Linked DNA regions of Solanum lycopersicum. The protein of the gene in region 1 interacts with the protein of each later gene in a pairwise test. Links are inferred from orthologs where the notes say so. Each region holds a gene or a part of one and is shown on either strand. Other genes may lie near its edges.

Evidence for each region.
Region 2: the proteins of GATA transcription factor 24 (region 1) and protein OVEREXPRESSOR OF CATIONIC PEROXIDASE 3 interact in binary tests that used the Arabidopsis thaliana proteins (3 or more experiments, as listed by UniProt). The link is inferred for Solanum lycopersicum from reciprocal best matches to the Arabidopsis thaliana genes ZML1 and OCP3.

Annotation. Positions count from the first base shown.
Region 1 is NC_090800.1:90,035,919-90,040,372, forward strand, and holds the start of GATA transcription factor 24, read left to right. Parts: upstream 1-1,512; 5' UTR 1,513-1,703; coding exon 1,704-2,105; intron 2,106-3,049; coding exon 3,050-3,133; intron 3,134-3,219; coding exon 3,220-3,353; intron 3,354-4,454. Other genes in the region: KH domain-containing protein HEN4, read left to right, coding at 75-157, 387-498, 625-756. UniProt on the Arabidopsis thaliana protein: Transcriptional activator that specifically binds 5'-GATA-3' or 5'-GAT-3' motifs within gene promoters.
Region 2 is NC_090807.1:48,217,552-48,221,922, reverse strand, and holds the start of protein OVEREXPRESSOR OF CATIONIC PEROXIDASE 3, read left to right. Parts: upstream 1-1,521; 5' UTR 1,522-1,635; coding exon 1,636-1,827; intron 1,828-3,186; coding exon 3,187-3,558; intron 3,559-4,096; coding exon 4,097-4,371. UniProt on the Arabidopsis thaliana protein: May modulate chromatin structure by regulation of nucleosome assembly/disassembly.

The DNA.
Region 1 (4,454 bases):
GTTTAATTTTCCCTTTAATTTAATGTGCATTCACCGACTTACCTTTGAACATTTCCTCTGGGCTTGGCTATTAGACACGACCTGGAGTAAACCAAAGAGGTGCTTTTGATGTCAGCAAAGGATCTAATTCAGTTAAAGGTGGCATGGAACTTGGAAGGTTGGTGTCTTCCACTCTTCACAAGCGGCTAATGCTTTTTCACCTGTGACAGGATGTACTTACGAGGGTGGACTCCCTATAATATGATTTGTACGAAAAAATTCCCTGTCTAGATTTACCAAATGGTCATTATAGACTTGGAGAAAAGATATGTAAGATTATCTAGAAGCCTGAGTAGAAATTTCTTGGTTGTATTCATCAGCTTGTTGCATTTTTCTATTGCTTGCAGTGGAAGCAGATCTGCCATTGTGACCAATACTACTGTGAAGATCATGGTTCCTGAAAACATCATCGGCTGTGTGTATGGGGAGGACGGGAGCAACTTGACTCGTTTAAGACAGGTATGTTGTCCCTTTCCCTTTATTAATTAGTTTTGTGGAAGGTACATGGGATTTTTAAACTCATATTTCTTCGTACTTCCATTCATTTTTGTGCTGGTGATTGATCTTTCTGAGGAACTGAATCAGATTTCAGGAGCTAGGGTCATGGTACATGAGCCCCGTCCTGGAACAACTGACAGGATTATCGTGATCTCTGGGACCCCAGATGAAACCCAGGCAGCTCAGTCTCTTCTTCAGGCATTCATACTGACTGAATAACCGTGAACTTAACAAAGAGGATCCCAATTTTGTATACTGAACTAGTACAGTTAGAACTATGTCAACAGCCAAGTACACTTTTTATTTTGTATACTATGTTGTGATGAGTCTGATGTTTGTTTATTTTTAGATAGGGTATTAAACATTAGTTTTTTGGTCTTTAATATGTTAGGAAATAAGAAATTAACTTGGTATTTATCCAATTTGACTATGCCGTCAACATGAGCAGAAGTTTTTTCTTACATTTGAAAGGGGATTGATTAGTTGACATCTTTATTTGCTTGCATCTGATAATCTTATAACAACTAGAGAAACTTTTAACTACTTTTATTTTGCATAGTAATGTAGGCCTGAGATGAGTTTAGAGTGGAGAAACATGGTCATTATTGATTAATATAGTTTGTGTTTCCAATATTAAATTTTGATTTCATTTATTGAATAAATTAATACAGTTCGTCGTATGACATATGAAAAATGACAACAAGGATGACATTACAATTCCTTGATTTGGTTCAATTAAGAAGCCTGATCTATGCCCTAGGAAATAAACTATGGTAATACGGCTTGAGTGTTATCACGCGTTTAAGCTAGCTTTTGCTTTGATTTAATTATTTATTTTTTGATAAATATATATTTTTTCATATATAAATGATACATATATTGCAAATTTAATTTGACTTATCTTTTATTTTCAAGTCAAAATAAATGAAAGTAACGATACTATCTTTAAAAAAAATTAAATGATGTTCATCATTTGGAACAATGGTTTGTTTACATGGACGAAACTCTTGTTGTCGACCCCATTTTTGGGGCTTAAGGATTCGGGTTTGTTTGGATATGGCTAAAGCTTATGGAGCTAGATTTGTTGGATCATAGTAGCTGTGTGGGGGTAATAACGTCTTTTAGTATTTTTATTTTTTAGAAAATATAAATCAACGACGTCAAAAATGGCAGAAGCAAATCGCAGAGCTAACATGTACGGACGGGAGACGATGAACGCTGCACTTCACCAAGATAGACACCAGCAAACTCAGATCGACGACGACGATGATGACGACGTCGTCGCTGCTGTCGGTGGCGGTGGCAGTGGTGGGGGAGGAATAGAGTCTATGGACAACCCTACTCCTCACATTCGCTACGACCAACATCATCACTCTCATTCTCACGCGCTTCACAACGGCGGCGCCGGCGGTTCTATGGAGATGAATGGTGTGGAAGGTGTTTCTCATAACGCCTTGTATGGTCCTCCTTCCGAAATTGTTCCTACTGCTGGTAGTGGAGCTTCCGATCAGCTTACGCTGTCGTTTCAAGGCGAAGTGTACGTTTTTGATGCCGTTTCACCTGAAAAGGTATTTCTTTTACTTTGACCTCTCTTTTTGTGCTTACTAAAAATGTTTGCCCTCTAATTTGTGCATCTTGCTCGTTCTTGTGTAGTGTGTTCTTTTATAAGTTTAGCTGAAAAGGTGTTTCTTTTAATTAGCGAGATTGGTCTGCATTTAATTTTTTTGTGTTGCTTGGATTCTTGCTTTTTTTGTGTCTGTCTACAAGAGATTGAGTGACTTAGGGGGAAGGATTTTCAATTTTAGAGATGGGGATAATTCTGTATTTGGCCAAAAGTTCTTGCCTCACTCTCACTCGACTTTTGGAGTTGTTGAGGTATTTCAAGACTCCGAAACTGGTCGTTTCTGAGATTAGATTGTATTTGATTGGCGAATTGGTTAGTGTGTACGGTGAATTGTTTGATATTGATCAAATTATGAAGCAAAGAGGCCATGCTGATCTTTTTTATCTTCCACGAGTAAGAGTGATTCTCACTGGCACGATTTTAGTATCACTGTAATTAAAATCTATGCACCGATGCTGAGTGAGGGGTTATCGCTCATAGGTGAAGTCATGCACTTCATAGAAGTGTTAAAAATGATGCACAGAGTGATCCAAATAAGAAGTCGTTGATGCTCTGAATCTCAACTTAGAAGAGTAAGATTTATGGATACTGAAATTAGTTCGTTTTATTGCAATCTGATCGTTACAGTGCTAAATTCACATACTTAAGAATTTTTTTTGACGTTGAGAATTGTGTGTTTCACTTCAAATGTGTGTGCTGTTTACTTCTCACTTTTCGCTTCAAGCTCCATGGTCCTTATTGCTTTTTTTTGCTCTTTTAGAAAAACTGTTTAGTATATGTATCAGGTAGTGGAATTTGATTCACAATTAGTGGATTTAAAACTTCATTTTGATATTTACAATAATCTTAATAGGGGTAAATTCTGTTTTTATGTTTATTGAGTTTTAGGTTCAGGCGGTGCTGTTACTGTTGGGGGGATACGAAGTCCCTCCTGGTATCCCTGCTGTAAATGTGGTTCCCCAAAGTCAGAGGGTATTCATCTTTATCTTCCCCTTACATTTTTTTACCAGACTGGTGGTTTATAATCAGTTATGGCACTTCCGCGGCAATATTCACAGGCTTCAGGTGACTTTCCTGGAAGATTAAATCAACCGGAAAGAGCTGCTTCTTTAAATCGTTTTAGGGAAAAGAGGAAAGAACGGTGTTTTGATAAAAAGATCCGCTATACTGTGCGGAAGGAAGTTGCGATGAGGTAATAAAACTGTAGTTTTTAATGCATGATGTTGTTTTGTCTGCTTGTTTGAACCATATTCGGAACTAGGTGGAGATAATGTGCAAATTGATGTCTGTTGCGATAGATGTCCCATCTGTAATTGTCCATTCGCTGTGCTAATGATTGATAGGACTAATTCACCCTTCTAAATTAAGTTGACAATAAGAGTAGGAAAGACATTTGCAAATTGTTATACACGAGGGGCGTCTAGCTCTGCGGCAGATGCTTTATATCAGCTTTATGCATTGCTTGAACTATTTGACTGGAATGGTGTAGGAGGTGTTTTGAAGGCAAAAGGAGCATTTATCTTAAAGCAACATTATTTTCAACTGGCTGACCTGCTGGACTTGGCGAATGCTACGAGTCAACTCCAACTTTTTGTAATTTTCTACAGAATTACCTGAAAAAGTAAAAAAGAGTGGAGTATGTCATGACTGAAATATGGCAGGATCACCTGAGGTGCATCTTACTTTATCTTTAAAAAGCAGAGTGCCCCCGAGCTGCACACACTTATTTCATATCTAAGACATTGTTTGAATGTGAATATGTAATTTCTAAATGACCTGACTGCTAAAAAACAGTTGCCGTGAGACAAAATTCTCACTTCCTCTTTACCTTAGGTTTGTGTATAAGAAAAGGTCAACTACAGCATTTTAAGGAATGAGGTAGAACTAACTAAAGAATGCTATAGCGAGGACATTGTAGTGCACTAGGTTGACATTGGAAATATAATAGGATAATTAGTGGTGAAAACATTATCCTATAAGAGGGAAGGGAGGTGTAATAGTATTTAAAGGATGAGACATGACCTCCTACTGAGCGCCTTATATTCTATCAATGCAAATGTCCCATAGTTTTGTGGACTTCGGAGCATTGGTACAACTGGCGCTAAAGTAGTGCACTTCATTATATGAAAACTTGAAATTATTGTCCCCCAATCCTTGCTCTAGTGATAAGAACACAGTCTGTGATGTGGGGGTTAGGCGCACTCCACAAATTTAACCCTACCACAAACAAAAGTGTGGTATTTAAATGGAGAATGGTAAATGCGCAGGCCTCTTTCCACCGAGTTTCAAGCTG
Region 2 (4,371 bases), on another chromosome or scaffold:
AAAGTCCCGCTTTAACAATATTTTTGAAATAGTGAGCTCCCCAATTGAACTTACGATTTTAAGTCTCGTCTCGTCTGCCATATCGGCCACTATTCTGCTACAGCAACATGGACCCTTCTACAACGGCAAAAATCGTGACCAAATGTTCTTAAAGGAATTTCAATCCCCCCTTTCACAACACACCTCTAACCAACGACGCTCATAAAAAACCTTTCACGCTAAGATCAATTCTCAGAGATCTACTCATCTAGATTCAATTTTGTAAAGCCGTACGAATTCCTTAGCGAGTTATCTAATCACTTATGCAATCAAAATCATAATTAAATTATTAGATTGCTAGCGTATTTCCCTATACCTCAAGTACTCTAATTTCGTTCAAATTTGGATAAGGTTGGAAAAAATTCAAATACTATGAAAAGTTTTTTCGATCACAATTTTTTTTTCATTGGCATTTCTATAAAGATGGAATCCAGTCGTTGCAATATGATAGTAATGTATGTGTAGTTAGGTAGTTTTCCTAGAAAAAAATTAAGTGGAGCCCATTTATCGGGTTTATTTAGGGAATTTTTATTAAAATGCACAAACTGGTTTGTTAATTAGGTAGGAGTCCTTCAAGTACTAAAAATTAGGTAGAAGAGACAAATAATATATATTAGGTTAAACGATGTTTTTACAATAGTCCCAAACTTTTCACTTTAATACTTTAGTCCAATAATTGTCGTAGTTGTCAGACAACTTCTTTTGTCGTCCGACAACTATCATAATTGTCGGTACAACGTCTTTAGTCGTTTGACAACTTGAATAGTTGTCCAGACAACAAAGATGCTATTAGTTTAGTCCTTCTATTAATATTAAAAACTAAAAAGAATGTAAAAAAAAAGGGCCCACTTGTCTTGAATTTTTAAGAAAAAATTATATATACTGACAAACTAATAATTCAAATTAAATGCTATAACTACACTTTAATTTAGTTGTGCCCTATAGTAAAATGTTTGTCAGTCGCCTCTCTCCCTCAAACTCTCACTTGCCACTCTCCTTCTCTCACTCGCTCCCTCTCACTGTATACAAGCACAAATGTATAAAATTTGTTTGTGTTCGTATAAAGTGAGAGAAAATTGTATATATATATATATATATATATATGTCCTATACACTTATAATTATACAATACAAATATTCATCTTCCCAATTTTCTTTTGTCTTTCTTTCTTTCTCGTTTTATACATACAAATTATACAATTGATCTTTTGTATGCAACTGCTTTCTTTTGTATATGTATAACGAATTATACAACTAGTTTCTTTGTATATGTATCGCGAATTATACAAATGATTTCTTTGTATATGTATAACGAATTATTCAATTTTATTTTTTTATATGTATAGCAAAATATACATATTTATGTTTGCTATGGAATGTAATTACGTAAAGTATAGCTATAATATATGACAATGAATTTTATGTTTGCAATATATGAAAGTTAGTCTTTAAGATACTTTTAGCTTATTTTTTCGTTTATTTAATTGATAAATAGTTAAAAGTTGTTGTGAAGTAATTTATCTCTACCATTATTAACTTGTTTAAACCCTTTGAATAGAATTGAGATAGGCCTTGAAGAATTTGAGAAAGTAGAGAATGGCGTCTTCTTCCACAACTCTGGGCATTTCCATTAGACTTGGATGTTCCAGCAATGAACATCTCATGTTGGTTCATCCCAGAAGCAGAACTAACATCGCCTTGCTATTTCATTCTTATTCCTCTCGTCTTGTTACTTTCTCTCGCCGTCGAAACAATTCTGCTATCACTTCTTCCAACAAAAAGAAAAAGGTACTACCTTTGTAAAAACCAGTTTTATTTATACATTTATTTTGATATTTAAAGGGGTAGATGTTATTCTTTTAGATTATCTTGTGGGTGGGAAGGAGGGAAAATTGAAGAAGGGCAAGAATGAAAATGCCTTTACTAGGGATTAGAGTATTTGAGCAGAGCAATTCTTTTTTTAAAAAAAATAATAATAAGTACACATGAAGAACTTAGGATAGTTCTTTTTAGAATTAGTTTTTCATAGAGAAGGTATGAAATATTAAGTTAGAATTGAAAAGAAATTGAAGTTTATGAAAGTTTTCTAATCTGGTAGTATGCTAAAAATTCGAGCCTAAATTTTGTTTCCTACTGATTCCCTTCCCATGGTTCCCATTGAGCAATTTTCTTGTGTTTTCTGAAATAGGTTGTTGTTTATGAATTTGTTATTTACTTGATCATTTGAAACTTTAATGTGCTTGTATCTGTAAGTAAGTTATGCTTGGCAAACATAGTTAAGGGATGATTGATGGTGGCACCCCTGGTGGACTAGACACGAGCAATTCTGATTTATATGTTTGTTTTAGGTAGTACCAAGTTAATACCTATTGATGTAGTTGAATAGAGCAAAGAAAAGTGTCGTACATTGCTGTGACTTTTTGTTTTTGTTTAACATCAGAAAGAAATTGCACCTTGTTGGCTCGTATTTCAACAGCAGTTGTTGCTCCAGTCAACTTACTTGTCCAGTGTTACTTTGTAGGTTTTACAGTTGACAAGATGGTTTACAAATTTCTTTGTTTTTGTAATTATGCCAAATAGTTTTGACCTGCTTGATCTACTGCCCTTCTGCTTTTAGTATAAGGGTCAATACCAGGAGACAAATCTTTTCCGTGTAATTGTATAGAGTAGTGATTTTCCAATCCATACATGTAACAGTAACTTTATAACTTTTACAGTTGACGAGTTGGTTTAGATTTTCTGCAGCTATTTTATTCTGGTACATGTGAATATCCATCAAAGTGAAGCCTGACCCATGAACTTCTTCTAGTGCACGTTAATGTCCATCAAGAAACCTTTCTTAGGCTGATGGAATTCCTTCCTGTCTTATCTTTTCTGGGATGTGGATTATAATCTCCTTTTAGTTGGCCTTCTGAATGTACATGATTTTTAATGTGCTTTGTTTTTTTGAGATCTTTCACTTGAATATTCAAACTATTTTCCTCGACTAGAAGTTTTTTAGAAACATATCTTTGTTTTGCTTTATTGGACATACTTGCTCACGAACTTTGATATCATCAATAACCTCTTCTTTACAGCTCAATTATTGTATTTCACAGCTTTTACTATTGTTTACTAAACCCGAGGCTCTGTTTGCTTCCTGTTTAGAGTCCACCTAGGAAAGATACGGAGGAAGTTGGTGATATAGATGAAGATGCTTTTGAGGCACTCTTTCAGCTGCTGGAAGAAGATCTGAAAAATGATGAGCTATCCTTGGACGATGATGATATAACTGAGGAGGACCTTGCGAAGCTTGAACGTGAATTGGAGGAAGCACTGAAGGATGATGAACTACTAGGAGAAATTGACTCAATTGCCAATGAGAACACTGAAAGTAGTATGGCTAAAGATGAAGAAGCAGTAGCAGAAGATGCCAATGGAGATGATGATGATGAAGATGTAGATATGCTAGTGAAATTGAAAAATTGGCAACTTAAGAAACTGGCATATGCCTTGAAAAAGGGACGGCGTAAGTTAAATGTAAGCTGCAGTCTTAATCTAGTCTTCTCAAATTCAGATACCGCAATTATATTACAGCTTCTCACGACTCATAAGTTTTAAGGCCACTTTGGTTGTACTCTGGCTCTTTGCGCATTCCAGCATTAAGCATATGGTACTAAGATCATTTGTGGTATCTATCCATGTGTCTGAAGTTTTCTAATGCTTGGGCAAAATTTACCTCTGCTTATCTCATCTTTCCTATGTATTCCCATTCTTCAGATTCCGTCGTTTTTGTAGCATATAGCTGGACATCTGCTTTTGGCTTGCATTGAATTCTTGACGTTAGTTTGTGAAAACTATATTATTTACACCGGAAGCTTATTATTGATTATTTTTCATTTGGTATTCAGCTTTCTGCTAGATAAACTCATCATAAGTATAGATTGGAAGTTTCAGAACCTGTAGCAGAATTAGAAGAGCAGAAAATGAAACTGCTTCTTCTAACCGCTACTACCTATTTAAAGATAATATGTCTAGTGGTGATAAGTTAGAACTTATATTTACCCTTCCCGTCCAGATAAAGAATCTTGCTGCTGACCTATGCCTTGATAGAGCTGTTGTTCTTGAAATGCTTCGCAATCCTCCACCAAATCTTGTGTTACTGAGTGCTGCCTTACCTGATGAACCTGTTCCCAGAATGTTAGAGGCTGCAAGCAAACCCCTGGAGACTGTTCCCATCGAGATGAGTGATGCTGTGAAGCCAGATGCTAAGGTGGAAACGCCAGTTCATGTGATGCAAAGTAACTGGTCTGCTCAAAAGAGACTAAAGAAAGTTCAATTGGAAACCCTTGA